7 linked regions of the Tribolium castaneum genome follow. The main gene of each other region encodes a partner of the protein of the gene in region 6 in a complex. Links are inferred from orthologs where the notes say so. Each region holds a gene or a part of one and is shown on either strand. Other genes may lie near its edges.

The links.
Region 1: U4/U6.U5 tri-snRNP-associated protein 1 (region 6) and Prp31 share a complex: the UniProt entries of both Homo sapiens proteins name them as parts of the U4/U6-U5 tri-snRNP complex. The link is inferred for Tribolium castaneum from reciprocal best matches to the Homo sapiens genes SART1 and PRPF31.
Region 2: U4/U6.U5 tri-snRNP-associated protein 1 (region 6) and LSm3 share a complex: the UniProt entries of both Homo sapiens proteins name them as parts of the U4/U6-U5 tri-snRNP complex. The link is inferred for Tribolium castaneum from reciprocal best matches to the Homo sapiens genes SART1 and LSM3.
Region 3: U4/U6.U5 tri-snRNP-associated protein 1 (region 6) and U6 snRNA-associated Sm-like protein LSm6 share a complex: the UniProt entries of both Homo sapiens proteins name them as parts of the U4/U6-U5 tri-snRNP complex. The link is inferred for Tribolium castaneum from reciprocal best matches to the Homo sapiens genes SART1 and LSM6.
Region 4: U4/U6.U5 tri-snRNP-associated protein 1 (region 6) and SmD1 share a complex: the UniProt entries of both Homo sapiens proteins name them as parts of the U4/U6-U5 tri-snRNP complex. The link is inferred for Tribolium castaneum from reciprocal best matches to the Homo sapiens genes SART1 and SNRPD1.
Region 5: U4/U6.U5 tri-snRNP-associated protein 1 (region 6) and peptidyl-prolyl cis-trans isomerase H share a complex: the UniProt entries of both Homo sapiens proteins name them as parts of the U4/U6-U5 tri-snRNP complex. The link is inferred for Tribolium castaneum from reciprocal best matches to the Homo sapiens genes SART1 and PPIH.
Region 7: the proteins of U4/U6.U5 tri-snRNP-associated protein 1 (region 6) and ubl are in contact, whole or in part, in a crystal structure (PDB 4PYU), measured with the Homo sapiens proteins. The link is inferred for Tribolium castaneum from reciprocal best matches to the Homo sapiens genes SART1 and UBL5. Residues at the interface, in NP_005137.1 of Homo sapiens: Ser117, Leu118, Ser119, Ile120, Thr123, Leu126, Arg127, Leu130, Leu132, Lys133, Leu135; in NP_001041706.1 of Homo sapiens: Met1, Glu3, Arg15, Lys17, Cys18, Asn19, Asp21, Asp22, Asp26, Lys29, Leu30, Ala33, Gln34.

The regions. Positions count from the first base shown.
Region 1 is NC_087395.1:18,107,095-18,112,374, reverse strand, and holds the start of Prp31 (U4/U6 small nuclear ribonucleoprotein Prp31), read right to left. Parts: upstream 3,582-5,280; 5' UTR 3,487-3,581; coding exon 3,150-3,486; intron 3,097-3,149; coding exon 2,273-3,096; intron 1-2,272. UniProt on the Homo sapiens protein: Involved in pre-mRNA splicing as component of the spliceosome. Required for the assembly of the U4/U5/U6 tri-snRNP complex, one of the building blocks of the spliceosome.
Region 2 is NC_087399.1:10,143,242-10,146,840, reverse strand, and holds LSm3 (U6 snRNA-associated Sm-like protein LSm3), read right to left. Parts: upstream 1,698-3,599; 5' UTR 1,561-1,697; coding exon 1,540-1,560; intron 1,491-1,539; coding exon 1,383-1,490; intron 1,337-1,382; coding exon 1,160-1,336; 3' UTR 1,142-1,159; downstream 1-1,141. Other genes in the region: SCAR (actin-binding protein WASF3), read left to right, coding at 1-824. UniProt on the Homo sapiens protein: Plays a role in pre-mRNA splicing as component of the U4/U6-U5 tri-snRNP complex that is involved in spliceosome assembly, and as component of the precatalytic spliceosome (spliceosome B complex).
Region 3 is NC_087398.1:10,390,720-10,394,022, reverse strand, and holds U6 snRNA-associated Sm-like protein LSm6, read right to left. Parts: upstream 1,485-3,303; 5' UTR 1,437-1,484; coding exon 1,346-1,436; intron 1,293-1,345; coding exon 1,144-1,292; 3' UTR 1,120-1,143; downstream 1-1,119. Other genes in the region: adenylate kinase isoenzyme 1, read left to right, coding at 1-131; uncharacterized protein LOC100142353, read left to right, coding at 185-518, 560-1,119; inosine triphosphate pyrophosphatase, read left to right, coding at 1,548-2,120. UniProt on the Homo sapiens protein: Plays a role in pre-mRNA splicing as component of the U4/U6-U5 tri-snRNP complex that is involved in spliceosome assembly, and as component of the precatalytic spliceosome (spliceosome B complex).
Region 4 is NC_087394.1:7,020,095-7,023,747, forward strand, and holds SmD1 (probable small nuclear ribonucleoprotein Sm D1), read right to left. Parts: upstream 1,494-3,653; 5' UTR 1,353-1,493; coding exon 1,339-1,352; intron 1,236-1,338; coding exon 884-1,235; 3' UTR 763-883; downstream 1-762. UniProt on the Homo sapiens protein: Plays a role in pre-mRNA splicing as a core component of the spliceosomal U1, U2, U4 and U5 small nuclear ribonucleoproteins (snRNPs), the building blocks of the spliceosome.
Region 5 is NC_087395.1:17,966,324-17,970,031, forward strand, and holds peptidyl-prolyl cis-trans isomerase H, read right to left. Parts: upstream 1,535-3,708; 5' UTR 1,456-1,534; coding exon 1,372-1,455; intron 1,326-1,371; coding exon 1,149-1,325; intron 1,104-1,148; coding exon 810-1,103; 3' UTR 765-809; downstream 1-764. Other genes in the region: G-patch domain and KOW motifs-containing protein, read right to left, coding at 1-22, 70-268, 319-509, 561-694; peptidoglycan-recognition protein 2, read right to left, coding at 1,589-1,779, 1,830-1,948, 1,994-2,213, 2,263-2,320. UniProt on the Homo sapiens protein: PPIase that catalyzes the cis-trans isomerization of proline imidic peptide bonds in oligopeptides and may therefore assist protein folding. Participates in pre-mRNA splicing.
Region 6 is NC_087395.1:24,228,721-24,233,764, reverse strand, and holds U4/U6.U5 tri-snRNP-associated protein 1, read right to left. Parts: upstream 2,801-5,044; coding exon 2,623-2,800; intron 2,576-2,622; coding exon 1,929-2,575; intron 1,877-1,928; coding exon 509-1,876; 3' UTR 195-508; downstream 1-194. Other genes in the region: APC7 (anaphase-promoting complex subunit 7), read left to right, coding at 2,943-3,011, 3,059-4,207, 4,459-4,932. UniProt on the Homo sapiens protein: Plays a role in mRNA splicing as a component of the U4/U6-U5 tri-snRNP, one of the building blocks of the spliceosome. May also bind to DNA.
Region 7 is NC_087397.1:131,399-134,906, forward strand, and holds ubl (ubiquitin-like protein 5), read right to left. Parts: upstream 1,213-3,508; 5' UTR 1,088-1,212; coding exon 910-1,087; intron 841-909; coding exon 797-840; 3' UTR 740-796; downstream 1-739. Other genes in the region: Uck (uridine-cytidine kinase), read left to right, coding at 320-492; Surf4 (surfeit locus protein 4 homolog), read left to right, coding at 1,312-1,362, 1,585-1,848, 1,897-2,127; phosphoglycerate mutase 2, read right to left, coding at 2,311-3,144. UniProt on the Homo sapiens protein: Ubiquitin-like protein that plays a role in cell proliferation and sister chromatid cohesion by associating with spliceosomal proteins. Participates thereby in pre-mRNA splicing by maintaining spliceosome integrity.

The sequences.
Region 1 (5,280 bases), about 6.1 Mb from region 6:
CATTTGTCGTAAGTCAACTTGGACAGTTTAATAATTGCTACGACGAGGAACATTGGAAAGCAGCTAAACGCGTGATGCGATACCTCAAGGGCACCATTCATTTGGGGTTGTCATTTAGAGCAACGCACAAACCTATTCGTGCTTACGTAGATGCAGATTGGGGAAATTGTACTGAAGACCGTAGATCTTTCACGGGATTCATCTTCTTGCTGAACGGGAGTGCAATTTCCTGGGATACCAAGAAGCAACGTACCGTAGCTCTGTCTACAACAGAGGCTGAGTACATGGCCATGGCAGAGTGTGCCAAAGAGGCCATTTATCTTAGACGATTCATTCAGGAGTTGGGATTTGACAAACTGGCTGACGTAAAAATCTATTGTGATAACCAGAGTGCAATACGTCTTGCTGAGAATCCTGTTTTTCATGCGAGAAGTAAACACATAGATGTCCGTCACCATTTTGTACGCGAAGTTTTGAGAGACAAGCAAGTATCTCTCGAGCATATCTCTACAGAACAGCAAGTGGCTGATTTCCTAACTAAAGGACTCGCTAAACAAAAACATATTTGGAGTGTAAATGCAGCGGGACTACAAGTTATCAATAGTTAGGATAGTTGCCAGAAGTTTTAGTGGAAGGATGAATTTTTTTTTTTTGGAAGTATTCATTCTAACGACACACGACTCGAGGGGAAGTGTTGGACATCTAAGTTTCACGAGTCGCGTTTCGTTTCCGTGTGAACCACAGTTTTGTTTATAAGAGTGTGCCGTGTATATTTTTATCAATTCCGTCATTTTGTATTTCGATTTACTTTCATATTAAATATACTTTTATTAGAAGTCTCAAGTATCTTATCCCGAAGTTCCAACATTAAGTCAGAAACACACTTAGGTCGAGTTGTATAAAAAATTTCAGGATTAAACCCATAGCCATTGTTATGAGAATAATTGTTAGGGATTTAAATCAGGACTAAAGATGATACAACTCGACCTTAGAAATGTAATCACATTTTTTTTAAGCCAAAGATACAAAATTCAAAATATAACATTATATTTTGAATTTTGTATATATAACATTATATTTTGAATTTTGTATAATCTATTTTCAACTATCAACATCATTTAAACAAGGATAAGATTATAAAGCAATAATAGATAAAGGAGAATTACCAAAGTTTCAATAAGTTTATTTCTCAATTTGAAATCTGAATGTGATAATTAGAACGTAAGAGTTTCAAGGAGATGAACCATTTTTTGATAATGAATAATGTGTTTTCCACTGTCAATGTAAGTCCTAGAGATTTTCTTTTTGCAAGAACGTTTAATTTATTACTAATAATATAAATATTAATATATTATTCTTCAAAATATTTACAACTTTTAGATGCAAAGTATAAGACTGAATATTTATTTTCATTGAGTTTTAAGTTAACATTACTGCAATGTTTGGCTATTCTTTTTAGATCATTGTTTATTTGATTCCATTCAGTATCATGGTAATCGATTTTGTTTGAAAAATAAATAAATAAAAATTAGTATAAAACGCGAAGAGGAGGAATGCAGTACAGAATTACAGACGAAACCGCTTTTTTTTCAAATTGAAAGCCGTTTGGTTTTTAAAAACCCGTGAAAATTTAACTCAATTCAATGTTACTACTGCATTTTTGTCTCTATTTTTTTTAAACTTATTTTGACATAAGTTATAATACGGAAGCTTTAATACATTATATTTAACAATAATCACTAGACTAGTAAAAAAACGATTGATGGACTTATCTCATTATTGCACTGAATAAATGTCCACAAATTTTCGGTGTTATAACAACTGTTACTGTTTAATGACATTAAAATAAATCAATCGATTACAAAACCAGTTATTGCATTTGAAAGAGAAAATTTTATAGCATACGTTTCTATATTTTTCTCAAAAAGACTAAAACTGGAGTTATTTCGTTAAAACATCGAACACCCCAATTAAAAAAAGGATTGGGCCCAAAACTGAGCACTGGGGTACACCTGAAGTTATGTGTTTCGCTTATTCGTTACAACTTATTGATACCGGTCTTGTAAGTATCAAGAGAATAATAAAACTGCATTTTCATCAAACCCATAGAAAACTTTTTGCAAAGAAGATTGTGATCTCTAGTATGTTATCAAAATCTAATGAAACTATAATGCTGCTTCAACAGTAGATTGGCTAACAATATTGTGTAATTTTCAATGTAAGAAATATTTTCAATACTAGAAAAATTTAATACAAGAAAAACCAAACTTACATCAGCGAAGTTCATTCTATTGGCATGTTTCCTGAACTCAGTCATCGCATATCTCTCTTTCATTTTGCGGACTCTTTTCCCGCCCCTTTTCTTCTTGGACTGGTCGATAGGTTTCGGCAGCGGCTTGATAAACTTAACTGGGGGTGGTTCCAACAACTTGTCCAGTTTTCGTTCAATTTCGTCGCGTAATTGCCGCCCAATACGTCCGTCTTTACTCTCATGACACGAGTCCACACGTGCTGCTAGCGTGCATTTAGTGGCAACAAGTCTGGCAGCCTTCCTTCTCAAATCAGGCGGAGTATTTTGCACGATATCTGCGTAATAAACGAAACCAGTGTGCGGCAACATATTCACTTGTGAAAATCCAGACAATGCCTTCTTCTGTTGGCCCAACAATTGCACGTTACAGGCCGGAATTTTGGACAATCGGGTCAAACCCCCGGCAACCCCCATGAGCTTGGCGGCGATCGAAGCCCCAAGAATCGCCGACAAGTTGGGGGCGATGAAAGCCATCCGACTCTCAACGTATTCGTAAATTTTCAGTTTGAAGTTGTTCAAGTCTATGGCCATGTCGCAAGCTTCGTCGATTTGTTTCTTTTCGACGTCCGTTAGGAGAATCCCCTGTGTCGTGGATGCCGTGACTGAGACAACCATGATAGTTGCCTGCGTTAGGAATTGTTGCAAAATTTCATTATTTTTGGCTTGGTCTAAGTCATTCCCGAGCTCTTTGACGGTCTTCAAGTACTCCAAAGGACCAACAACAAGGGAGTCCAACTCGGGGAACCGCTTCTGGTACTTGTCGCGCACAAATTTATGGACAGTGGCTTCAATAAAACAGATTAGTTTCAACTGATTTGGTTAAAATCGTAACTCTTACCAATTTCCGCGTCTATATCTGCAGCAATGTTGTTAGCTTCGACGATCAGTTGATACTCAGGGTCCAACTCAACTGGTCCTATGATGTCGTGGTATTTTCGGCTCTTCTTCACATGGTCTTCGATTTGTTTCAATATTTCATGTAAATGGGGCGAGTCCCGTAATTTACACAACTCTCGGACTGAAGTTATTTGAGTTGTGTCTACCTCTAACTGGATGTCTTTAACGTCGGGTTTTTCTTCTTTGATGTCCGGTTTTTCATCAACTTCCATCGCTTCTTCCAAATCATCTTGATCGTTTTCTTCCAAATCAGCCAATAATTCGTCGGCCAAAGACATTTTAGCGAGTTAAAAACGTAACTCCAAAACGTTCACACAACACTTGGAAGTGAGGTTAGAAAAATGCAGTTTACAAATTGACAAGTGTCCATAGATTACTTGTAATGTGGGGCTGAATTACTGGTTGTCTATAATAATCTGCTTATTAATTTGGGGATAATGAAAAAAAACAATATAATTATTAATTAGTGAAGGGACGGAATATAGTCCGTGAAAGAGTACTTTTCCGGACACATATATCACTAAAAAAACAGTTGTTATTGTAGTTTCAAGCCATGTTATTTAAATAAAAAAAACTTTTTTTTTATTTTAGTCAACTTTTTGGTAAAAACTATAACTATAAGAACATAAGAGCAAACTTGCTTCGCCAAAAGCTCTTTTAAATACCATTTTAAATTAGAATATTAAGATAGTTGTTTTTAAAAATAAACAAAAATAAATGGAAAAAAGCATACAAATAAAAATAAAAAGGAGTCAGAGGACGCCAAAGCACCAACTAATTTTAATAAAACCGGATTGAATAAAACTGTATGCCGAAGAAAAGAAATAAAACTTTTTGACTACAAACGAACACCTTATATTCATCTTAACGAAGTTGTGGTAGATGACAGAAATATTTAAAAAATTTACTTTCTTATTAAATTTTGGATCAAGTTGTGTCTTCTTTTTAAAAACGATGCATTTGTATTTGTGAATAACTTCAATTTTTTAAGAAGATTTAGACAGCAAAAAATTGTAAAGACTTACACGTAAAGCTTAAAAATGGTTTCCGATTTATTTAACGGAATTAACGCTTTAAGATTCATTTTTTAGAAAATAATTGCAAAAACCCACAAAATATATTAGAAAATCTTTTAATAAATAATTTAATTCCTATTCATTACCCGTTTTCTATTCAACAGGGAAGCGATCATTTTTAAAATTAAAAATTATTTGGCATCTACGATAGTTCAATGCTTCAAATCGAAGCAATTTATCTGTTATCTTATTATAATAAACTACCAACCGACTTTTTAAAATTCTGATCTAGTTATCCATGACAGATACGTCATCAATGAAACATTTTGCATAAATAACTTTAGCATCGCTTTATTTGTCAATATGTCTAAAATGTTCACCGAAGAACCAAAAAAAATATGTTGGAATCTTATTTCCGTAATGGAGATCGGGTTAACGTAACTGTCACGGATAACTAGACCAATATTTTAGAAAATCACACAGTATTAATTTGTTTGAATATAAAGTTACAGTATAGTTACACAATTTGTAAATTTGGGTTAAAAAAGTACAGTTTTTTAAAAAACTCTTCAGGTTTTGGGATATACGAAAATGTTTATTATGTCATTTTAATACATACATTTTATGTCAAACTTAAAATTCTTCTAATAAATAAATATTTGTTCCTTTATTTATTGAACCTAGTCAGTAATCAGTTAATCACAATCACCACAAATCTCTATTACTTCTTAATTTGAATAAGTATAGAAATGTAAAATAGTTATTAACGATTCGATCTCTCATTGAAAGTATAAATTACATTAGTTATAATTTTGAGAGAAAATGCGACGTTGGCGTTTTTATAATTTTGAAATAGCTAATATATACCTTTTATGAACAGATAACAAATAAAATAGCACTTCTCGTGGCGGCCCTGAGTAAATGAACAAAATACCAATACCAATACAAACAATATGTTTCGAAACAAAACTTTGGAAAAGGTTACTTTCTAAAAACTAACCTGCTATTTAAATAAAACTGTAAGATCATCTCTGAATAAGCTCATAAAATCTGAGA
Region 2 (3,599 bases), on a different chromosome or scaffold from region 6:
CACGCCCACCACGACCGAACTCAATCGAAATACGACGCTCGTACCAACAGGAAACCACCGACGGTCTCCATTCCCCCACTTACCCCCCGTACGAGGAGTATGGCCAAGGCCCACTCAGTTCCGAATCATTATACCAAGGAGGCACGCCCACACGAGGCGGTAAAGTCCGCCCAAGCCAGCCCCCACCCGCACCACCTAGCAACACGAGCACGCCCTCGTCCAATACCCCGACGCGAGGGCGGAGCCTCTCCGGCCGCGACAACCTACCACCACCGCCCCCACCACCCGACACGACCATGTCACCGCCCAACGGCATCCCCGCACATCTCGCCACCCAATCGCGTTCAAACAGTCCGCATCAAGCCACACCTCCCGAACCGGTGCAAGACTTACCTCCACCACCGCCCATACCTAAGCAAGCCTCGCCCCCCAAACAACAAACTCCACAAGCCCCGCCTCCGCCACCACCTCCACCAATGCCGTTACTGAACGGCCCGACGACTAGTCCCCCATTGGTTAACGGCGATTTGGCGAAAATTATAAATAGTGCGTCGCCGCCGCAATTGACACCTGTCAAAGATCGGCCAAAGCAGGCGCCGCCTATCGTCGATCCCAGGAATGATTTACTCAAAGCTATCCGAGATGGGATTAAGTTGCGCAAGGTGGAGAAGATTGAACAGAAGGAGGTGGAGAGAGGGAACGGTTTCCACGATGTTGCGAGTATTTTAGCTCGGAGGGTTGCAGTCGAGTTTAGCGATTCGGATTCAGGAAGCGATTCGGAGTGTGATAGTGAGGGTTGGGGCGAAAATGAAACGTCGGCGTGACATAGAAGGAAGGCTAGCACGGCTAGTCAAGTGTATTGAAGCAACGAATTTTCAATTTTTAACGAGCAAACTTTAGCAATATGCCAAATTTCCAGTATTATTGAGGCATTGCATGATAAGCTTATTAGATTGCGTTTACAGTGGATGGTTTTGACTTGGGTTGAGATGTACATATTGTAATGAACGTTTTATTTATAAATTAAGTTGTATAGAGAATTATTTAACTCGTACTATCCTAATACTCCTTTTTAATATTTTAACCAATTATCAGGAAATCTTTGTAAAATACGATATTTAATGGGTAAATAAACATCATGTCAACGTATGTGTTTTATTTACGAAGTGCGCATTGGGGGTGAGACCAAGATCACGCCGTCACCTCGGACGAAAAGCATGGGAATATTACGTTTCGTCGTTCTGTAAACCTCTTCATATGTTTCTTCATCGATTTCAACCGTGGTTATGGTCTCTTCGGCGTCGCTCAGGATCATGTTCATGTGTTGGTCATAAGCCTGGAATTTCGGTTTGTGATGGATGGAACTTTGTTAGACAACTTACGTGGAGTCTGCCCCGGATTTCTCGATCGTTTCGCATTTTTACATAAATACGTTCGTCTAAACTTAACCTCACTAAATCGAGCGGTTCTTTGACGGTGATTGAGGGAATCTGAAAGGAGTGGTAGGTGAAATGTAATTCTAAATGAAATGGGTCTTACATTTTCTAAGTCATCTGCCATTCTCACGAAAGATGATACTTGTTTGTAATATTAAATTAAACAGGCCAAAAGTTAGGTTAAGTTGTCGTTACAGTGTCGCCACAATAAGAACACCTTTTTCGATTTTAACGATATTCGGACAGACCGGTCTTGGCATGTAATAAAATTCGGGCGGAAGGTGTTTTTTTGAATCTAAAAAAAATTTGTTTTTTAATTAAAGCCACAGATTATTACCGCGTTTTACTTTTTAAAATAATACAATCACTCGTTTTAGGGATCATGCATAGTTTAACACTCACTAACACTTAGAAATCGGCAGATTATACAGGGTGATTCTTTTAGGACCTACATTAGAGACTTTTTAACTTTAAAAAAAACTAGTGCTTTAAAAGCGACTATTTGAAATTCAACTAAATTATTTTCAAAATTTCTGAGCTTCCGGAACCACGACAAATTGGCGCCAACTTTAAAATTTTGAAGAGTAACTAAACATTTTTATTACATTTTTTAATTCACTCTCTCAAAGTGAGTAAAATTTATTAAAATTGTTGGTACTTATCTGTCTTAGTTTTACATATGTCAATTTTTTTGGTAAAATTTTTATTTGCAAGGGTTTATTTAAATTATCACAGCCTTTGAACCGTTTAGGAGAAGTGAATATATTTTTTTTTAATTCGATTATCGGAGTTTCGAAAAGTTTTCTAAAATTTTCAAAATTGTCAACTGTCAAAATTCAAGGCTAGTATGATTTTTTTAAATGGTTATTAAAAATAAAATCGGCTATAATTCAGTTTTTTCAAATGGATCGACTCTATTTTCTTAACGGCAATCGAAAGAACAATATTCATGGTGATTTTTATCAACACGTCCTGTACCTTACCTGTTACAGTTTTTGAAAAAATCACAAATAACGGATTTTACTTCGTAATTTTTATAGTTAATCAAGTAGACCTTGCAAAATGGTCAACAATTGTCAAACTTCGACACTTTACTTAGTTTTTAGCTGGTTCATTATCAAATAAGCAGCAAAACATTAATATTTAATTATGGTTTATGCTAACTTAGTGAATAACTCAGTCAGTTTGCCATCGAATTTTGAACTTTTTGAGTGAAAATGGGGGACAGTTTTAAAATTTCTGTTAATCATTAGTACAATTTTATCGTATTTTTTGAAAGGTTACTCGATTAAAAATGAAAATAATTACCTTGAATTCGGTTTTTTGAGATTATTTCAAAAACTGTAAGAGATAGATATAGAAGATGTTAATAAGTCTGCATAAAAATTGATGTTCTTTTGATTGCCATTGAAGTCATTCCATTTAAAAAAACTGTTCTATAATTGTTTTTTAATTATCATTTTCAAAATATCATAGTAGCCTTGCAATTTGACAGTTGACAATCGTAAAGATTTCAGAAGACCCTTCGAGCCTTTGGTTATCAAATGCAAAAAGAATTATTCACTTATTTTAAAGTACTCAAGAGCTATGATGTTTTAAATAAACCTCTGCAAATAAAAAATTTATCAAAACATTTGACATATTTCAAAAACTAAGACAGATAAGTACTAACAATTAGGTTTACATTTTACTCAGTTTCAAAAGGCGAATTCAGAAACACAATAAAAATAGGTGGTCACCATTTAAAATTTCAAAGTTGTCGCCAATTTCTCGTAGTTCCGGAAGTTCAGCCATCTTGAAAATAATTTAGTTTTAACTCAGAGTGATCGATTTGAATCGTGTACAAAATTTTAAAGCTCAACCTATGTTAGAAGTTAAAAAGTTTGTAATATAGGCTCTAAAAGAATCAGCACGTATATAAAATTACTGGTTGCTAAAGTCCATTCGGAATTAAAATCAATTTTCAAATTGTTTCAACGTTGGCAACTCCATTTAAAATTAGTCGTCTATGTCAATGTGGCAGGGTTCCAACATAATTCCAAAATTTTTGACACTGACAATTAATTTACAAAAAATGAGGTTTATAAGAGAAAGATTATTAGCACCGCACTAGACCTAGCTACCAACCTAACAACAACTTTCTATAGCTTAAATAACCAAAAG
Region 3 (3,303 bases), on a different chromosome or scaffold from region 6:
AGGACGCCAACGAGGTCTATACGAAGATTGAAGCCGCCATTTCAGTCCGGATTAGCACAAGAACTAGGATTTCGAACGAGGCAGATTACGCCCAGTCACAAGAGAACGAATCAGTGGTCTCCTCAGTTTAACTCTTTCCGGTGCTTTGTATTCGAAATTTCCCAATAAAAGCGTAATTTTCGCCATGCGTTCGACTTGCGTGCTTCCGCTCCTCGCGGCTTGTGCCCTCGCGCTCAAAATGTGCGCCCAAAATCACCGTTTTCTCAAATTCCACAAACTAAGGAGTTGCTTCAAGTCGACGCTTCCGATACTGTCGTGGAAACAATTCGATAACGTCCGCGATTGTATGCAATTCACGCGGGACAAAAACGGGCTAGCGTTTAATTTTAGCCCCCCTGAGCTCCAGAAAGCGCGGAGTTGCGAGGTGTTGGGGTGTCCGGAAGTCCACAACTCGACCACGTTTGTCTTTGACCCGAGTTACGATTATTACAGCGCTTATGGCGACTTTAACTGTGGGGGTGAGTGTTGGAAGGATGGCTTAATGTGAATTGAATTTTAGCCACAGCGAACGCAACTTGTCTCAGATCAGTCGGTTTGTTTCAAGTGGTTCAGGAAAAAATGAATTATTCCAGCGCCGCACGTCGGTGCCAGGATTTGGGGGGCGACCTGGCTGATATTTTGACTGAGGCAAGGACGAACGCACTAGCTGCGTTACTCAAGTCTTTGCCTAACTGGTACAAGGGGGCATACGTTGGCCTTGACGACATTACGGTTGAGGGGAGTTTTGAGACTCCAATGGGGGACTTTTTGCAATGTTCGCGGTTTCGGGCCTGGGCTGTGGGCCACCCAAGACCAGGACGAAGAAAAGAAGACTGTGTCATGTTAGATGTTGAAAAAACGTGGAGGGCACTCAATTGTAAAATTAAATTGGACTTCATCTGTGAATTTTATCCAACTCCTCCGGACAACACATTGAATGAATTTAAATATCAGAACTGTAGTCTCGTTAAAAGTAAGAAAAAGAAACAAGAGTGTGAGACAAATAACGAGTTATTTGAGCTATACAACAGCTCTACGAGAATCGATCAGTGCGCTTTAATGAACGACTTTGAGTTTTGAAACGTTTTTATTACAAAAAATACATTAGATTCTACGTTTTTGTGTACTTATGTAGAGCACATTGTTGCCCCTAATAAACGCATCCCCGAATTTATTTTTGAGTTGTCCGTTGACGTATTCCTCGGTTTGCTCCAACGCTATGTTCATGTAGCCATCGAGACAAGCCAAAACACCTAAAAACCAAATAATAGCCCCCTTCATTGACAAAAAACAAACATAACCTCACCTCTGTAATCTACACCACTATTCAACTTGACCACAACAGGCCTGGCGTGAATTTGTTGAATAAAAGACGAAAGGGCTTCTTTGCGACTCATCCTTATCAGCTTGTGGCTCAAATTTGCTTATTTAACCGCCTCGGCTGACAAAAACCTAACCTCAAATCGGCATGTACATAACCCCACTTCCTGTTTTTTTCACGCAAAACCATGTCGAAACCGCTAACATTCGTCACCGGCAACGCCAAAAAGCTCGAAGAGGTGGTTGCCATCCTCGGCTCGACATTCCCACGCAAAGTGGTGAGTCAAAAAGTGGACCTCCCTGAGCTCCAGGGCGAAATCGCCGATATTTGCGTGAAAAAATGCCAAGCGGCGTACGAAATCATCAAGGGGCCGTGTATCGTCGAAGACACGTGTCTGTGTTTCAACGCATTGGGTGGTTTGCCCGGTCCTTATATTAAGTGGTTCTTGGATAAGTTGGGTCCTGAGGGGCTGTTTCGACTACTGGCTGGGCATGAGGATAAGAGTGCCCAGGCCGTTTGTACTTTTGCATATCATCCGGGCGATGAAGGGGGCAAAGTGATTCTGTTCGAGGGGCGCACGGATGGAGAGATTGTGATGCCGAGGGGGCCGAGGGATTTTGGATGGGATCCGTGTTTCCAGCCAGTGGGGTACACGCAGACGTACGCCGAGATGCCCAAAGAGGAGAAGAATAAAATCTCTCATCGGTACCGCGCCTTGGACGCGCTGAGGAATCATTTTATGAACCAAGAGAAACAATAATGTTTTGTCGTTTTAGTTTTATTTGACTTTAATCAACTTAAATAAATTGTTTTGTTTGATTTGAGTGCTTTTTTGTTACGCTTTTCTTATTTCTCCGGCAGGTTTATAACAAAACAGTCCGGGGGGTAGTACTTTTTAGTACTCAAATGCCATTATTGAAAGGATAGTAATAAAGCGATCAGTAAAAAATTCGATTTTAATCAGTAAAAAATAATAAATCATCAGTATTTAATTCATTTTTGCACAGTAAAAAATTTAAATGACAAGTAAACCACGCACAGTATTTTTTTAAAATTTGCCCAATAAAAAAATCGTATATGCACAGGATCTAGTTTCAGTTTGCACAGTTTAAATAATAAACGCTCAGTAGCTAGCTTGCAGTCTAGGGCTTCGCCCCAGCAAACTAAAAGGAAAAATACTCCTCGAACGATTAAACTCAAAAACGTAAAATTGGAAATGTGAAATTCTACACACTCTAGTTTTGAGATGCTATTATTTACTGTGCATTTATTATTTTTACTGTGCAATTATTATTTTTACAGTCCATTTATTATTTTTAGTGTGCATTTATTATTTTTACTGTGCAGTTATTATTTTTACTGTGCATTTATTATTTTTACTGTGCATTTATTATTTTACTGTGCATTTATTATTTTTAGTGTGCAATTATTATTTTTACTGTGCATTTATTATTTTTAGTGTGCAATTATTATTTTTACTGTGCATTTATTATTTTTACTGTGCATTTATTATTTTTACTGTGCATTTATTATTTTACTGTGCATTTATTATTTTTAGTGTGCAATTATTATTTTTACTGATTAAAAATACTTGTCGTTTAAATAAAATACTGTGCATTTAATTTGTATCCTTATTGAAATCGTTTGTAATGTGACTAAAATAGTCCATAACAAATGTACGTGTGTAATATTGGTTACGTAAATTAAAACATTGTTTTCAAGACTATTTCTTCCACTTCAGAGCGTTTTTAAACAGCTATTTCTACGTAATATAAAATTAAATTATAAACGTTTTTTGAGTGCAATTTCAAACAAGCAAAAAATTTTTGGTTTCGGCAATAAATAAGATACACTTTTTCAGTGGTTTCAGTCAGAAATAATACCTAATCTTGTTAACAATGCAACGTAACTCTAGATATACTTACCCACGTTTTGAGTGCAAC
Region 4 (3,653 bases), on a different chromosome or scaffold from region 6:
TTAGTTTTTATGAAGAAAACTCTGCATCGAAGACTTTTGACCTGTAAATTGGTAGGTACCAAGAAATTAATGAACCCAAATTTATTCATTACCAAAAATCGAGCACATAAATACCAAAAAAGCTTTAATTTAGACATCACTGTTATGCAGGCTTGTAATGTTGGTTGCATACTCGATGGCAAGCAATTTCTATATTTATTTTGATTTTGAGAAAATATTTCTTATCTCAAATCTGAATGAGTGATAATGTTTTAGCTTTAACTTTTTGTATTGAAAGTAAGAGAATGTTCCTAAATTTGTAAAATAATTATTAATATAAAAAAAATTGAGGTTAAATAAAGTGATAGTCCATCTGTTTCTGTATTGATAGTCAGTGTTTAAGACCACCCGAAAAATGGGGCTATCTTTAGGAGAATGTTCCGTCATGAAGGAGGTAATCAGTAAAACGTTAATTTTACCAAACTCATTTAACCATTTGTAGATAACAAAAACAGAAGAAGCAATCAAAGCCTGTTACGTGAGGGTCCAACTTTTAGAAAAAAAGATCGAATCTGATGAAATCCCCAACGAGAAAAAAGCCGACATGAAGAAAGAGTTACGAGAAGTTCGCAAACTTTTAACCACAAACGAAAACCAACTTTCACAACTCCACAGACACAATCGAAAATCATTCGCATTTGTAGCCGCCTTCTGTTTTGTTTGTTTCACAGTTTACGTTTTATACATTTTAGTACAAGGTCCCGATTTTTAATAACAAAGACATTTTAAACCTAAATATGTTTTATTGATGAATTTAGCAGAATTATAAAAGTTTTACAAATACTGGAACTAAACGAAAAGATTCACACTTACAATTACGAAACTTAATTTAATGAACGTATTCTTATCTACGCCCTCTCCCTCTGCCCCTGCCTCGGGGGCCCCCTCTGCCACGGCCCCTCCCGCGGCCTCTGGCAGCCCCCCGGGCGCTCTCCTTCTTCTTGGCCTTGGCTTTGGGGGTGTCGTCAATCAGCAGAGTCTCGAGGGGTAAACTATCGGGCAAAATGTAGTAACGAATGTTGTTTCCTCTAACTGTTAGGGTGTCTAAGTTCACAGGATTTCGGTTCTTTACAGTCACTTTTACAGCTTTTAAGTGCGTATTCATGGCCACATCTACACCGGTTATAGTGCCATGGACTTGTGTGCCGTTTTTCAGCTCCATTGTGACCGTTTCATGGCTCAGTTTCATTAAAAACCTGAAAATGGCCGAAATGTTAGGTTAGGTGGTTTTTCAGGAGTTTTACTTGGAATTCAAGGAAATAAAAACGTGTCTGATCAATCAGTAGTTTACGTTCTCACCTTACTAATTTCATGTTGATATTTTTGGTGTAATTAAGACAATTTTTATATTATGCCGGCAAAACACGCTTGGCTTACGTTTTTTTACCCCCCCTCTTCCATAGAGGGAAAGAGAATGAGCATATAAGAAAGAGATGGCAAGAAAACTTGCGAAGGGAGCGCCACTTACGTGGCGCCAATTTTAAATCGTTATTTTTTTTATAGGTTTGCAGATAATTATGGACTCTGAAAATAAAAACAATTCTTTATTATTTACTATTATCACAGCTATTATCAAAATAACCTTGCTATTGGCACGTAGTAACAATGAAATATTTTGCTTTATACAGTCGAACTTCGATCACCCGAATAGGCCGTTGCCACTTCAAATCATCTTTGTAGAATACAGTGGAATAATACTTTTGTTGAGTTCAAGTGATTCCTGTTATTATAATATGAGCAATTTTTTTAACTAATCCAACAAAGTGTTTACCTTAAAAATCTCAACTCTCTCTAGTGCATCTAGTGTTCTTGTTCTTAATTTTTATTAGTTGCGTGTTTTTAGTTAATTAATTAATTAAACAAAAATTCGTGTTATAAAAATTTTTCGAATTCAAAATTTGAAATTGAACAAAATAATTGGTGGAGTCGGTTTATCCCCGTTCGGGTGACAGGGGTTCCACTGTATGAATACATTTTGCGGAGAAAAATTTAAGATTAGGTCGATTATATAAATTATATGTTAATAAGAAGTTAGAAAATACTTATCTGAAAAGTTAAAAAAAGTAATTTTTGACTTGTTTTCGCCTAAATTATAACTATAACATGAGAAAGATACGTTTTTAGTTTGACAGTTTTTGAGTGAGGCTTCAAAATTGCTGAAATTATGTGGACACGATTATAATGGGCAAAATTAGATTATAGGATAAGAGGGTTAACCTACAGAAATTTGGGCATAATTATTCACTGTACATAATAACCCCACTCTCCCCTACCTAAAGTATTTGAAAAACACTTGTTACTGATTAATTTATGTTATTTATTACAATATTAGAATAGATAACACAAAACTAGTAATAATCATTTTCGCAAGATCTCGGGTCCGGTCGCAACTCTGACCTCTGTCGAAAGAACTGAAAAATTCCGGTTAGTTTTAAGTTATCAAATGACTACGTTGCAAGTACAAGTTTATTAGTACAATTTTATTAAAATGTTACTTAAATAAAACCATTTTTACCCAAAAAATTTACAAAAAGTCATTTTTGGATACAAATTTTCTAGTTTTACTTTTTTGAATTATGTTAAAAGACTAGGTGGTTATTTACCAGTGAACGATCGATTATGAAATTTAAATAAAAAAAAGGATAAAATTGGATTATGAAATTAATAATAAATTAGTGTGACTCAATAATTATTAATTTTTTGTGGCAACAAGCAGTGAAAACAGTGAAAACACTTGGCTAAACTAATTAGTTACAAACTAGATTAAAAAAAGTAAGTTGTAATATTTACAAGTTTATTTTTTAATTCGTAGGTATATTAAAACTGTCCGTTCCTGCTCTGATGAGGTCATTGTAGAAGAAATAAATTTTTTTTTAAATTATTCTTCGAAACAAGAAATATTTTTAAAAAAGGTATACTTGTACAGACTGTTCAAAAATGGTTGTTCAAGTCGACTAAGGAATTTAAATTCATTGAATCACTTCGTTTAAATAACTTATAATCTCTGCATTTTGCATTTTTCGGTAAGAGACCGGAAGAAGAGATAATAAAATATTTAAACATTACCAAAAAAACTCATATTTTTTTTAATCTCAAACCCTCTTTAACCACAAACTTATCAAATAAAACGAGATCAAATACCACAAAAAATATAGAGGAAAGAATAAGAAAGGCTTTCTATAGAATTGATCATGCTACATTAAATAAAGTGGTAGTCAATTTACAAAAAAAATTAGGAAAGTAAATGTCACAAATAATATACAGGACGCTCAAAAACTGGCGCACCAACATGTTGAAAACATGTGTGGATTACGGAAAAAATCTGAAACTAGAACTTATTTTGTCCACTTGTTCAGTTTTCATTAATTATTAAGTAATTGTTCCCTAGCAAAACGATGAGTAATTATTTTTAAATTTACTATCAGGCTTTAGAAGTTGTTTGAATTAAAAAAAATAAATTCAGCAAAAAAATTACCAATCTGTAGATGTGCTAAACCACACGGTCTGTAAAATTATATGAAACACCTTGTATACATTTTAATTTTTTGTTTCTCATGCGAAAAAATTATTTAAATATAGCAAAACTTTACAAATTCGAAAAATTGATTATTATC
Region 5 (3,708 bases), about 6.3 Mb from region 6:
TGGGACTTTTGGGACCTCAGATCTAGAAAAAATCATTTTCAGGATGTGTTTTAGAAAAGTTAAACCAACTTTTTGGTCCTTTTCCCAATTGGCATTCCCTCTTTCCAATTCATGCCACGTAACATCGCCATACCAAAATCTGTAATTGGTACACTTTCGTAGTCGTCGAGAGACGACTCCTGTGCCCCCTCTGCCACAAACTTGTCGTCATTTAAAGGCAAGGAGTAGACTTTTGTCTCGCTTTGTACAGTGTTGCGAGTCTGTGCCTCTGAAAATTTTATTCACACTAGAAAATCACTTGAAACATAGGGTAAGTACCTCGGATTAACTCTCTTGCCGCTAATTCGTCAAGAGATAGGGCAGAGTCTGGCACAGAATTTGCCTCCCCTGTCTCTTCTTTAACTTCAGGTTTGACGTGTTTTTCCCTCGCTTTTTTTATTTGGTCTATTAATTTGTTTGATGGGCCTTGGATTGGTATCACCAACGGCTCATTTGTCTCCTCAACGGCACTAAAATGAGGTTTTTGGCAAAAATAACATAACCTCAAAAACGAAACATACCCTTTTATTTTAATTGATTGACCCTCTAAACAGTCAATTAGCTGTATCTTATTTTCGGGTTTCGGAACACTTGACCTGATTTCGGTCTTTTTACTAATTTTGCTGAAACCGAACGATATTTTTTTATTTTCCATTTCACGATTATTTACGTTTTTGACAAGTGAGGTTATGGGACCACCAACCTGACAAAATAAAAATTTAAACTAAGTTTTATTTTGTGCTTTTATTATTAAAATTTGAATTACACTACTACATTTGGCCACATTGTACAATTGTGACCGGGATTTTGGGCTTATTGTTGGGCCCCGTGGGCACGTTTTCGATTTTCCGCATGACGAGAAGTCCGTCAATAACGCGTCCAAACACCACATGTTTGCCGTCCAGGAAATTACACTTTGCACAAGTTATGAAAAACTGGCAACCGTTGGTGTCTTTGCCGCTGTTTGCCATTGATAGAAGTCCAGGACCGTCATGTCTTAGGTTAAAATTTTCGTCGGGAAACGTTCCGCCCCCATATATACTCATAACGCCGGTCCCATCGCCCTAAAAATATTAATTAGTTGCGGAATCGCATCCCGTGATTTTTACATTGACGAAGTCGCCCCCTTGGATCATAAAGTCCTTGATAACTCGGTGGAAACTAGCCCCCTTGTAGCCCAACGGCACGCCGTCTTTGCGGAACTCGCCGGTGCAAAACTGGCGGAAATTATCGCTGGTTTTGGGGACCGCGTCTGCGAATAACTCGAAAATCATTCGGCCGATTTCCTGTAATCGAAAAATACAGTTTTCGGAAATTTTGGGTTATTGGTACCGTAGTTCCGACGGAAATGTCGAAAAACACGACCGGGTTCGCTGGGTGCTTCAACTGGGCTTGAATTTGGTCCCAATTCGGCATTTTTACGGTTTTTAGTTCCCTAACCTCGAATAATCAAAACAACATAACCTCAAACTTGCGACTAATGGGCGCCATATTTAAATTCAAAATCGTATGCTTTATAATAATTTTATTTTAAAAACTAGAATACAGTTTATTTCGGCGGGGACCTGGTAAAGTGCGGCCAGTTCTGTAGTTCGCGGTACAGCTTTAGGCCCGGACTTTCCGTCGCGCTGACTTGGCGGGCCCCAAACAGTTTGAAACTTTTGCCCAACTCTCCCAACTCAACCCCGCATTGGAGAAAATCTTTAGCGGCTTGTATCTGCTTTTTATTTGGAAGTTGAGCTGTAATAAAAGGCTCGTAAAGTACGAAAATAACACGAAAAACAACCTACTCGTGTAATTGCCGATGAAACCGAGCCCCAAAGACCGGGAGTTGTACCCACGTGTGTGCGCCCCCACTTTGTGCCAACCTGCGCCCTCGTAAATCTGGCCGTCACCACCCACTAAAAAACTAAACCATAATTAAAAAAAAAAAAACAAAAATCATCAAATTTACTTGTATCCAATATCGTGAAAATCTAGATTTTCCATGTGAAAATTCTGAATGTTTCGCAAAATCGCCGCACATTCTTCCTCAGTGCTGCAAGTGTTGGTCACCGTGTGGTGCACGACCACGTTTTCGACAGGGATTAGGGCGTAATCCACTTCCAAAGCAGTGCGAGCCCCCCATCTAGTGCGACTCACGATTTCGGGGCACACTGCCGGCAAGTTTGACTCTGGAAACACCTCATTTAGCAATGGATGGGGTTTGAGCGGTGGTTTTACCTGTTCGAGCCAGAATTTGGTGCAAAATTGAGAAAATAATCACGAACTTTCGTCCCATATTCAACTTTGCCTTGTATGCAAAATTAAAATTATTTATTTAATTAGCACGTCCTTTAATGGAACAACACGAGTAACCTTCGAGATGATAAACTTCTGCATTTATATACGGTGACCTGTGGGGTCTATGACTTTATCTTCTTGTTATGGTTTTTATCTCTGGGTTGTGGGGATTCCCGATCAGGGACTTCACCAACGGTGACTAAAGTTAAATAAAAACAAGAGCAACGAATTTAATTTTATTTTTGTGCTGGATTTTGCAGTCTTCTTAGACGTCCTTATCACTATCAGTTCTTATCATGTTTTATTAAATCATAACTTAACGTAATTTTCGTTACGCAGTTATCAAGTCACTTAGATACGGGGGGCAACTCAGTCAGTTAATTCGCAAGGTTTGTGCGGGAAAAAAATTTTGGTTTTTAAAATTTTGCAAAACTTGTTGAGAGGCGCTGCCCGTCCGTTGTTTACTTCTTTCAAGGTTGCCTACACTGACCGTCTGGAATTTCATATCTTGACATTTGTGATTCTGCGAAAATGCCTAAATAAGGTCATTTTCCTAAAAAGTGCCGATAATTCGTGATGTAGTTGAGAAGTTTTGCTTAAAATTAGTATTAGAACGGCAGCTTATTACCATGGATGACCTAGGTAAGGACACAAACGCTTCGCTTATCCTAACCACCTGCCTCATAACCTAAATTTGTCCCAAGTTAACACATTATTAACAGGCGTGTTATCAGTAGCGATTGAAATTAAATTGAATATTAATCTTGATAACACCAATATTTGGAAATTGGTGCAATAATTAAGTGGGAGGTCAGCGATCAGCGGTTGCAAAAATGTTGACTTGTTGCAATTTTGTAAACAATTCGCCTGACAGGTGTCAATTAAACTGACGTAACCCCATTAATTCAGTCTAAATTTATTTGGCCGGCAGCTGGCAATTCGAATTATAAAACTGTTTTCTAGCTTCATCTTTCCGCATAATGAATGGGTCTTTTTATAAAACTCTTTCAGTCGGATGCGGAGGACTATTTCTAGCGTTTCCTGTCTCATTCAATGCGTTATCCTGTGTCGTCTCAAATTTTCCAATAAAACCCGCCTCGACCTCGTTATGAAACCATTGCGTCGCCGACAAATTAAATCCACACACATATAAGGCAAACGAGAAAGTGCAACCCATTTTCTAGGAGATGGGACCTTGAAGTCTCCAATCGCACAAAAAGCTGATTGTTTGTACACAATTACATCATATTTACACGACATGTGAGACCCCCACACCGACAAGTCCGCAGTAATTGTCCGCTCGCGATTTTGTAAATATTTAAAGTCGTTTGAGTCGCGTCGTTCCAGCAGCACTCCGAAAATAAAGCCTTTAATGACCGGCTAAAA
Region 6 (5,044 bases):
GATTACCGTGCAATCCCTATCCTAATCATGACTGATAATGGTGCTCACGGAAGTGACGTGAAAGGTCACGTCGAGAGCTGGTCATCAACCATTTATTTTTTTAATTAACTATAACTTTCTGTTCAATATTTTCCTTTATTACCGTTTTGTTGGAAAATATGGGAAATTGGTAATTTCTAATTAAAACACGGAACTCACTTTTAATTCATTTCATTTATCGCAAAAATTATTACACCGTTTGTACTCGTAGGGAGCCAGACTTTAAAACTTATTCATAAAACCATTATCATTATCGTACCCGTCCCTTAAAAACGATCTACAAAACAAAAACATTTCGTAACACTTTTCGTTAGGACTTTGTAAATAAAAACTGATAAAAATGAAACAATTTATACAATTTACAATGATGCCCAGTTTTCCTTAATTTAAAATTGCCACTTCTTTTTAGAGTAGCGCTGAATTTTGTTCACACAAAATTATAGTATTTATTTATTCTTAGTCATTTTACTTAACGCCGACTTTTGGAAATAACCGCCGTTTGCTGGCTCTGCTTGTTCCCCGACAAGACCACATACGGCGACTGCGTCTCCTTCTGCTTCGCTTGCAGCATATTCAAAGTCCCTAAGGGCGTATCCGTCGAACTCATCTTCTTCATCAACTGCTCCTGCACGCCCTTCTTTATCCTCTTCTCGATCTTATTTTTCCCCGGCCCTTTCCCGTGGAACTTATGCGAGAGATACCTGAAGGCCTCCTTCGAGTTCAACACGTGCCCATCATCGTCGATATACTCCAACTTAACATTGGGCTTAAACCCATCCTTCTCCTTAAACTCCATAATGGGGCCAGTGTACCTCTCCCGGCGGTTCGCGCGATCGCCCTCATCCCCGTAGGTCTTGTCCTCGATAGAGTAATGCTTGGCTTGCAAATGCGCTAACCGCGAATTCGACGGCCTCTTATTCTGCTCCTTGTCCAGGTACCCCTTGCTCATTGCAAGCTTCAAAGCTGCCCCAAGCCCTGTACTGACATCAGGCTCTTCGTCGAGGATTTGCACCTCTTGTGGGGCAATTTGCGGGCTTTCGTGCGGCTCGTTTGGATCGACTGAATTCCAGCCGGTTTTCTCCTCCTGCTCGACTTCGTCCATTTCGGGCTCGTCTTTCAGATCACGCTCGAAATCGATCAAATCTTCGGTTTCCTCGCGGTTGCCGGACTTGCCGTACGTTGGGATGTCGCCCAAAGTGCGGCAAAACTCCGCCGTGGCGTTCAGAACAATACTCCCCTCCAGGTTTTCCTCACTTTCGCTTTTAACCGGCGTTGATTTAACAATCTCAGCAACGAGGTTCTCCTTCTGTTTGATTTTGCGTGTCTTGTGCAGCGCTTTTTCCAAGAGATCGTCCTTCTCGTCCTCGAGTTTGACGTCCGTGGGGTATTCCATTTCGGGGATGTCGTCAATGGTCAAGTCTTCGAGCTCTTTCTTTGGGCGTCTTGAGCCGACTTCCTCGATGCCTTTGTTGTTAATTTGTTGCTCCAATTCATCAGCGGTCAGTTTTCCCTTAGTTCGGATTTTGCGGACTTTCTTTTTGGGTTTTTTAAATTTGGACAGTTCCTCGTCGTTGTAATATTCCGATGCGAGTTTTAAATCTTTTGTTTCAATCGATTCGATTCTTTTTTTGGCGAGTTTTTCCTTAATTGATTGCACGATTGCTTGTTTACGTTCAACCGCATTGTCGTAACCGATTTTGAAGCTTTCGCGTTTTTCGCCGTCGATTGTTTCGTCGTATTGGGCCAAAAGCGACTTTTCTTTGGGGTTGCCAAACTCGTCGTACTCCTGGTCTTCGTAGGCGTTATACAAAATCTTCTTCTTCTTGTTTATAACGTTCTGAAATTTGATGATAAATAATCATTCACTGTAAATATTTGTAACAAATTACCTTTTTGTATCTCTCGTCCTCAACCATGTTGACATTGACCAGGACATCCTCCTTGTCTTCATCCAAGACGCCCTTGTCTTGCAGCGTCAAGATAACATCCCTTTCCTCAGCAAAGCTATCAACATCATGCTCCACCCTCAGCCCTTTCAAATTCCTCTCAGTGTATCTCTGCTTCCTCTTCTCCTTCTTCTCATTCTCCACAAACTCGCTGACCCCAAACTGCTCATCCAACTCCTCCAACATTTTCGCCCTTTTCTCAGCCTCCTTCTTGGCCAATTCAATCTTGCGGTTCTTATCAACCCACGACTCCACATTATCATCACTATCACTGTCCCCCAGCAGCTTCACCTTGCCCAGCTTATTCTCCAGCTGGCGCTTTTCCCGAATCGTTGTCAATTTGCCCTTCAGCTTCTCCCTCTCGTGCTTATCCGCCCAATTCTCCGCCGGCTTGTGGTAAAACTCGCCCCAATCGTCCTTCTTCTTCCCGTCATCCCGTTTCTTCTCGGACTTGTCCCCCGAACTCACATCGAGCGGCTTCAGGCCGAGCTTCGCCCGCAGTTTGTTCGTTTCCTCAATCGAGAGACTCTCAGCGTTTTGCCCGGAGCCCGAAGGCTCATCGTCCGGAATCACCTCGATCACGTCGGATCCTGGCAAAAAATCATTCAAACGGGAAAGTTGGACGCGGGGTGCTTACCGTCGCTGTCGTAGTCGTGCTTCGCCCTCGCGTCGCGCTTCTTGTCCCTGTGGTGCCTCTTGTGGCGGTGGCGCTTCTCCTTCGGGGGCTCATGCTCGTCGGTGTAGCCGGGGCTGTGGTGGCGCCGCTTACGAGACTCTTTCTCTTTTTCTTTGTATTTTTTGCTACTAGAACCCATCCTTTTTACAAAATTTGAAGGAAATACCTACCGTACACAACGTCAATGCAACGTTTTGACGTGCGCGAAATCCGGATTGGTGGTTTCGCCGTTACGGGATTTGCCGAGTTCAAAAACCTAACCCCACATTTGCCAAGCCAAGATGACCAACTTATTGAAGCAATTGCAGGCGATGTACGAGCTTGCCCTGCACTCGAACATCTCCCGAGTGGTTTGTAGCCCCCTTTTGGGAGTCTGAGCCCCCAACTGTGCTTTTAGTGCGACTTGGCCCTGTCGGCGTCCGAGCAAAAGCCCGACTTTTTGCCCCCTTTGCAGAAGTTCCAGGTGATGTTGCTGTACGCCGATTCGCTGTACGAGACGCAACAGTTCGCCCAAAGCGAGAGTTTGTACCGCCAGGCCTTACAGCTCCGCAAACACCTCTTAAAAACCAAGTCAATGTCTAATAAAATCACGGAGAGTCAGCCCGAACTGGCCAGCGATGTGGAGATCAGGTTCAAGATACACAAGTGCTGCATGGCCCTGAAGCAGGTGAATGGGGCCATCGAGATGCTGCAGTCGATTCAGGCCCGCCTGCGGACCCCCAAAGTCAACATGGCGCTCGGCAACTTGTACAGGGAGGCCGGGATGGAGCGCTCGGCCATAACGTGCTACAAGGAGGTGCTCCGGGAGTGCCCGCTGGCCCTCGAAGCCGTGGAGAACTTGCTCAAGCTGGGGGTGAAAGGGGTCGAAGTCAACGCACTAATGGTGGAGGCAACTTCCGAACTAAACTGGCTAAACCTCTGGCTCAAAGCACAAGCCCAGTTGTACTCGCGCGACTTCGAAAACGCCGCCCAAACGTACAAAAGCATGGACAGCCACGGTCTACTCAAAGACAACACGTCGCTGCTGGTCAACCTGGGCTACTGCTACCACTACATGTGTGAGGACGAGACGGCGATTGCAGTCCTCCAGCGGGCGATTAAACTCGACCAGAACCTAGTCTTTGGTCGCGATTTACTGGCCACGCTTTTGGCGAGCTCGGGGACTTCCGAACACGTTGAGTATTTGGAGGATTTGATCCCGACCTCGGATATGTCGCTGTGGACGAGTGAGCATTGGGTGGTCATTGGCAATCTGATGTTTTCGACGAGACGGCACGAAAAAGCCGTTTATTTCGCACAGCAGGCGCTTTGTGCCTCGCCCAAAAACATAGAGGCGTTGCTGCTGAAAGCCAAGACGCTGGTGGAGCTCAGCAAGTACCAGGATGCCGCCCAGCATTGCACGGAAGCGATCCAGATCTGTCCGTTTCGATACGACTTGCACCAGTGTTTGGTCGAGTGCTATGTGAAGATGAATCGGCTGAGGGAGGCCGACTCCATGGCGCAAAATGCGTGCAAACAGCTCAATTTCAGCCCACATTCGGTTACGGTAAGTGAAAAAATTGTAATACGGTAAAGAGAGAATTGGCTGTTAGACTGTTTTTTTGGGACGAATTATTTTAAAAACGTATCACTTTTTTTTCGTTTGCCTTCATCTGGCAAACTAATGCGCTATCTGAGAGGAATATCGGGATGGGACGTTGTCTTTGCTTTAGGTGTCGAAACGGATTAGGCGCCATTAAGTTGTTTTCTTATTTATTCCTCAAATAACAACAATTACAAAAAATAGTTTCACTGCAGTTGCACGCCTCCGTTTTACTCAAAGACCCGATGACGTCCGGGAAAACGGTGCGAAACCTCCTCGAGAAGGCCGTGAGCCAAGACAAGACGTTTTCCACTAAGGCCGTCTGTATGCTCGTGGAGTTGCTCGAGCAGGAGCAGCAGTACGACCAAGCTCGGCAGCTCCTGCTGAAGCACGTGGAACAGCACCCCACCTCGCGCATCCACCAGATGCTGGGCGACTGCTACGTCAATTTGAACAAGGACAGCGAGGCTTTCCACCACTACAACGTGGCCCTGCGGCTCGACCCGTCCAACCAGAGGGCGACCGAGGGCCTGAGTTGCATCGGACGCAACGTGTCTTTAAGCAAAAGGGAGAGCTACTACACCTGCGTGGGGGAGACGTCGTACACGTCGCCAGGGACGAGCGCCTCCGAGGACGATGTTTTTGTCCAGAACGATACCGAACCCTGGCCTACCAATATGAGTTTCTAGGTGATAACAATTTTTTTTACAATAAAAATATTTAAAGTCACGCGACTTTGTTTTCAACAATCACAGGGTTACATTTCCCTAATTATTTACGTGTTAAAATACAAAGTGTTAG
Region 7 (3,508 bases), on a different chromosome or scaffold from region 6:
TTTATGTTGCAGTGGCTATTGACCTTATAGTTCACCACATCTGGGATATTTTGCATGGGACTGAACGAGAAAATAACTACAAGTCCATTCCATCGACACAAAGTCGGACGTAACGACTTTACTAACTTTTAATACCAGTTTAAAACCAAAGTATCTTACTTTTCTAATAAGGGTATTGTATAAGACTGGAACTAGCACAACATGGTCAATTGTTAAAAAAACGTATTATTTTTTGGATCTGATGTATTACAAAAATTGTGTTTTGCTTTCTTAATAAACCTATGCATTAAACCTGTAACGTTTTTTTTTTGTTCTTCAGTGGCCATCGAGTTAATTGTGCAACATATCAGAGAAATTTTAAGTAACAGACAAAGGGCATCTGAGGAAAGAATTGTTCAAGTGGCTGCAGCTGCTGTAAATCTAACACCAGTGCATTCACCAGCCAAAAAAGTCAATTCTGGAGGAGACGGCCAATTTAAACGACCTCATTAAGATTCATTCTTTATGTAAATACATAGTTAGTGCTTTACTTCAGTTAATTTTTAAAACGCCAAAGGAATTAGGATTAGAAATCACTTGTGCCATTTTATTCATTCTTTATTGCACAGCAAATATACTCGTTTTACAGGGTTTTTAATTGTGTTAAGGTTGTGAATTATGTACTTATAAAAAGAAATCGGTTTTTTGTGTGATATTGCAATACCAAAACGTTTGTTTGATTATTAATTTAATAAAAGACTTTTATTCTTAACCTATGGTTTTTATTTATTATAATAGAAAATTAAAAAATGGTGAATTATTGATAATACAGTTCAAGATTCATCCCATCATGGATTTCATCTGTTAATTAAAATTAAGGAAAATGGCAATAAATTGGAACATTTTTTTTGCAACTGTACGAAAGGATACAATCCTGAAGCTGAATGTGATCTTTAAACGTGGTGTACCATTTTTTCAGAACAATCTTATCCCATTTAGTGCCAGTTTGTGCAGCTATAAGTTTTTTCAAATCACCGACAGTATCATCAGGGTTACATTTAACCCGCACTTTTTTGCCCAAACGGTCGTTGCACGTTATTTCAATCATTTTCACCACTGAAAAATTTCAGTCAAAATGTGTGCAAACACTAATGTTGTTAATTTTTATTTATTATGGAATTTGCTAGAAGTCACACTGCTGACAGTTGACTGTGTAACTGCTGAACTACTGTTAGAAATTTTGAACTATCGTGGGTAGATAGTTCGTTTCGTTTGCGTAGTTCATTTAAAGTTACGTGTCTGCGTGGAGCTTTTGGCTCTCTACAATCAAAAATGAATATTCCAAATGAATACATTTCAAGTGCCGAAGATGTAGCAGATCAGGTAATATTCGCTAGTGAAAAGCACAAGTAATGTTTTTACTTCGTTATATTTGAAAATTTCTGTCAAGATCATTTATAATTTCCAAAAATTCGATAAATGTCACGTCACCCGTTTAACTTTCTTACAAAAAGAGAAATAATCAACAGGTTTTTCGTACTAATTGAGCCATTACGTGCAATTTTTTATGCGTTCCATATGTTGTAAGCAATAATTTTCTTCTAGGTCATCAGAAAACTAAAACATATTCTTCCAACTGTCGCTCGTTTATGTCTCATTTCAACATTTTTGGAGGATGGTTTACGAATGTGGTTCCAATGGTCCGAACAAAGGGAATACATGGACATGTCATGGGGTTGTGGCAAATTTCTAGCCACTATTTTTGTTTTAGTCAATTTGATTGGTCAGTTAGGAGGTTGTGTGATGGTCATTATAAGATACAAAGTAGCTATTGCGTGTGGTGTACTTTTTTTTATTGTTGTTTTACAAGTAAGTCTCAAAAAAATCAACAACCAAAAACCAAAAAATTGATTGCAGACTTTAGCATACAGCATACTATGGGATTTGCAATTCTTATTCAGAAATCTCGCTCTAATTGGTGCACTTTTACTAGTCTTGGCTGAGAGTAGGGGCGAAGCCAAGAGTTTATTTGCAGGTGTACCTTCATTAGGCGAAAACAAACCTAAAAATTACTTGCAACTGACAGGACGTATTTTACTCGCCTTCATGTTCATCACACTGATACGCTTTGAACTCAGCTTTTTACAGGTAACTATTATTTAATTCAAGTTGGCAACATTGATCCGATTGACCGTTAAATGCAAACGTCAAGGTGGCCAATATTTTTTTACAAATTTGACGTGGAATCACTGACTCAGCACATTTGTTTACACAAACATGATAATAATTATTAAGCAAATCGTTGTTTATAGAAAATAACATTGTATATAATTATTTGGCTTTTCCTTGGTTGGCTACGGCTTCCATGGCCTTCTTGACCGTTTCTGGATCGCCTAAAAATTGCAAACTGCCTCCCTGTGCTGGTTTCATGTTCTCTTGCAGCATATAAACGAATGGAATTCCAGTCGGTAGATTAAGTCCCATTATTTGTTCATCATTAAGTTGATCTAAATGTTTGACGATTCCTCTTAGACTATTTCCGTGCGCTGCAATCAGAATTCTTTTCCCGGCTTTAATTTGTGGTACAATAGTTTCGTTCCAAAAGGGCAAAGTTCGTTCAATTGTCAATTTGAGCGATTCAAATTTGGGGAATTGTTCAGGAGGCGGTCCGTTTTTGTATCTCGGATCGCATACGATGTCTTTATAGTGTGGATGGTCATTTTCCATGGGGGGCGGCGGTACGTCAAAACTCCGCCTCCAAATGGCCACTTGTTGTTCGCCGTATTTGGCGGCAGTTTCAGTTTTGTTAAGGCCGGTTAATGCGCCGTAATGACGCTCATTGAGACGCCATGTCGTTTGAATGGGAATATCGCATTGATTTAGCGTTTTTAAGATAATCTGAAGAGTGTCTTGTGCTCGACTTAGGACCGAAGTGTAAGCTTGGTCGAATTTATAGCCGGCGTCTTTGAGGGTTTTGCCGGCGTTTGCCGCTTCTTGTTTACCTTTTTCGCTCAATTTTGCGTCGTACCAACCACAAAAAAGGTTTTTTTGGTTCCATTCTGATTCGCCGTGACGGACCATTACGATTTTATACGGTGCCATTGTACTGTAATTTACTAGAAATTGTGACAGTTTGGGTAATTTACGTGACACGAGTTTTTCCATGATTGCTTGTTTTTATTTTATCATTTAGTATTATTATTCAACGATTTTTTTGGGAGTTGTCCCACAACTATTTTGAAAGGCAGAAAAACAAAACTTAGTAACAAAAAGTAGGAACTCTTTATTTTATTGTGAATTTTAAAATTCCAGACTGTATCGTTTGTGTCTAAACACTTTTGAAAATAACTGTATTCTTTATTTAACATTTTGCACACCAGATTTGAACGTTGGGTATACGACGTGGTTGGTTGTAACTTGAAGACCAACTTAAATTTTTCAGATGAAAATTACCACCAACCGTGATTAAAAAAATACTATTTATGGTAATGCCAACCTGTTGATAATGAAAAAGAATCAATTATAACTT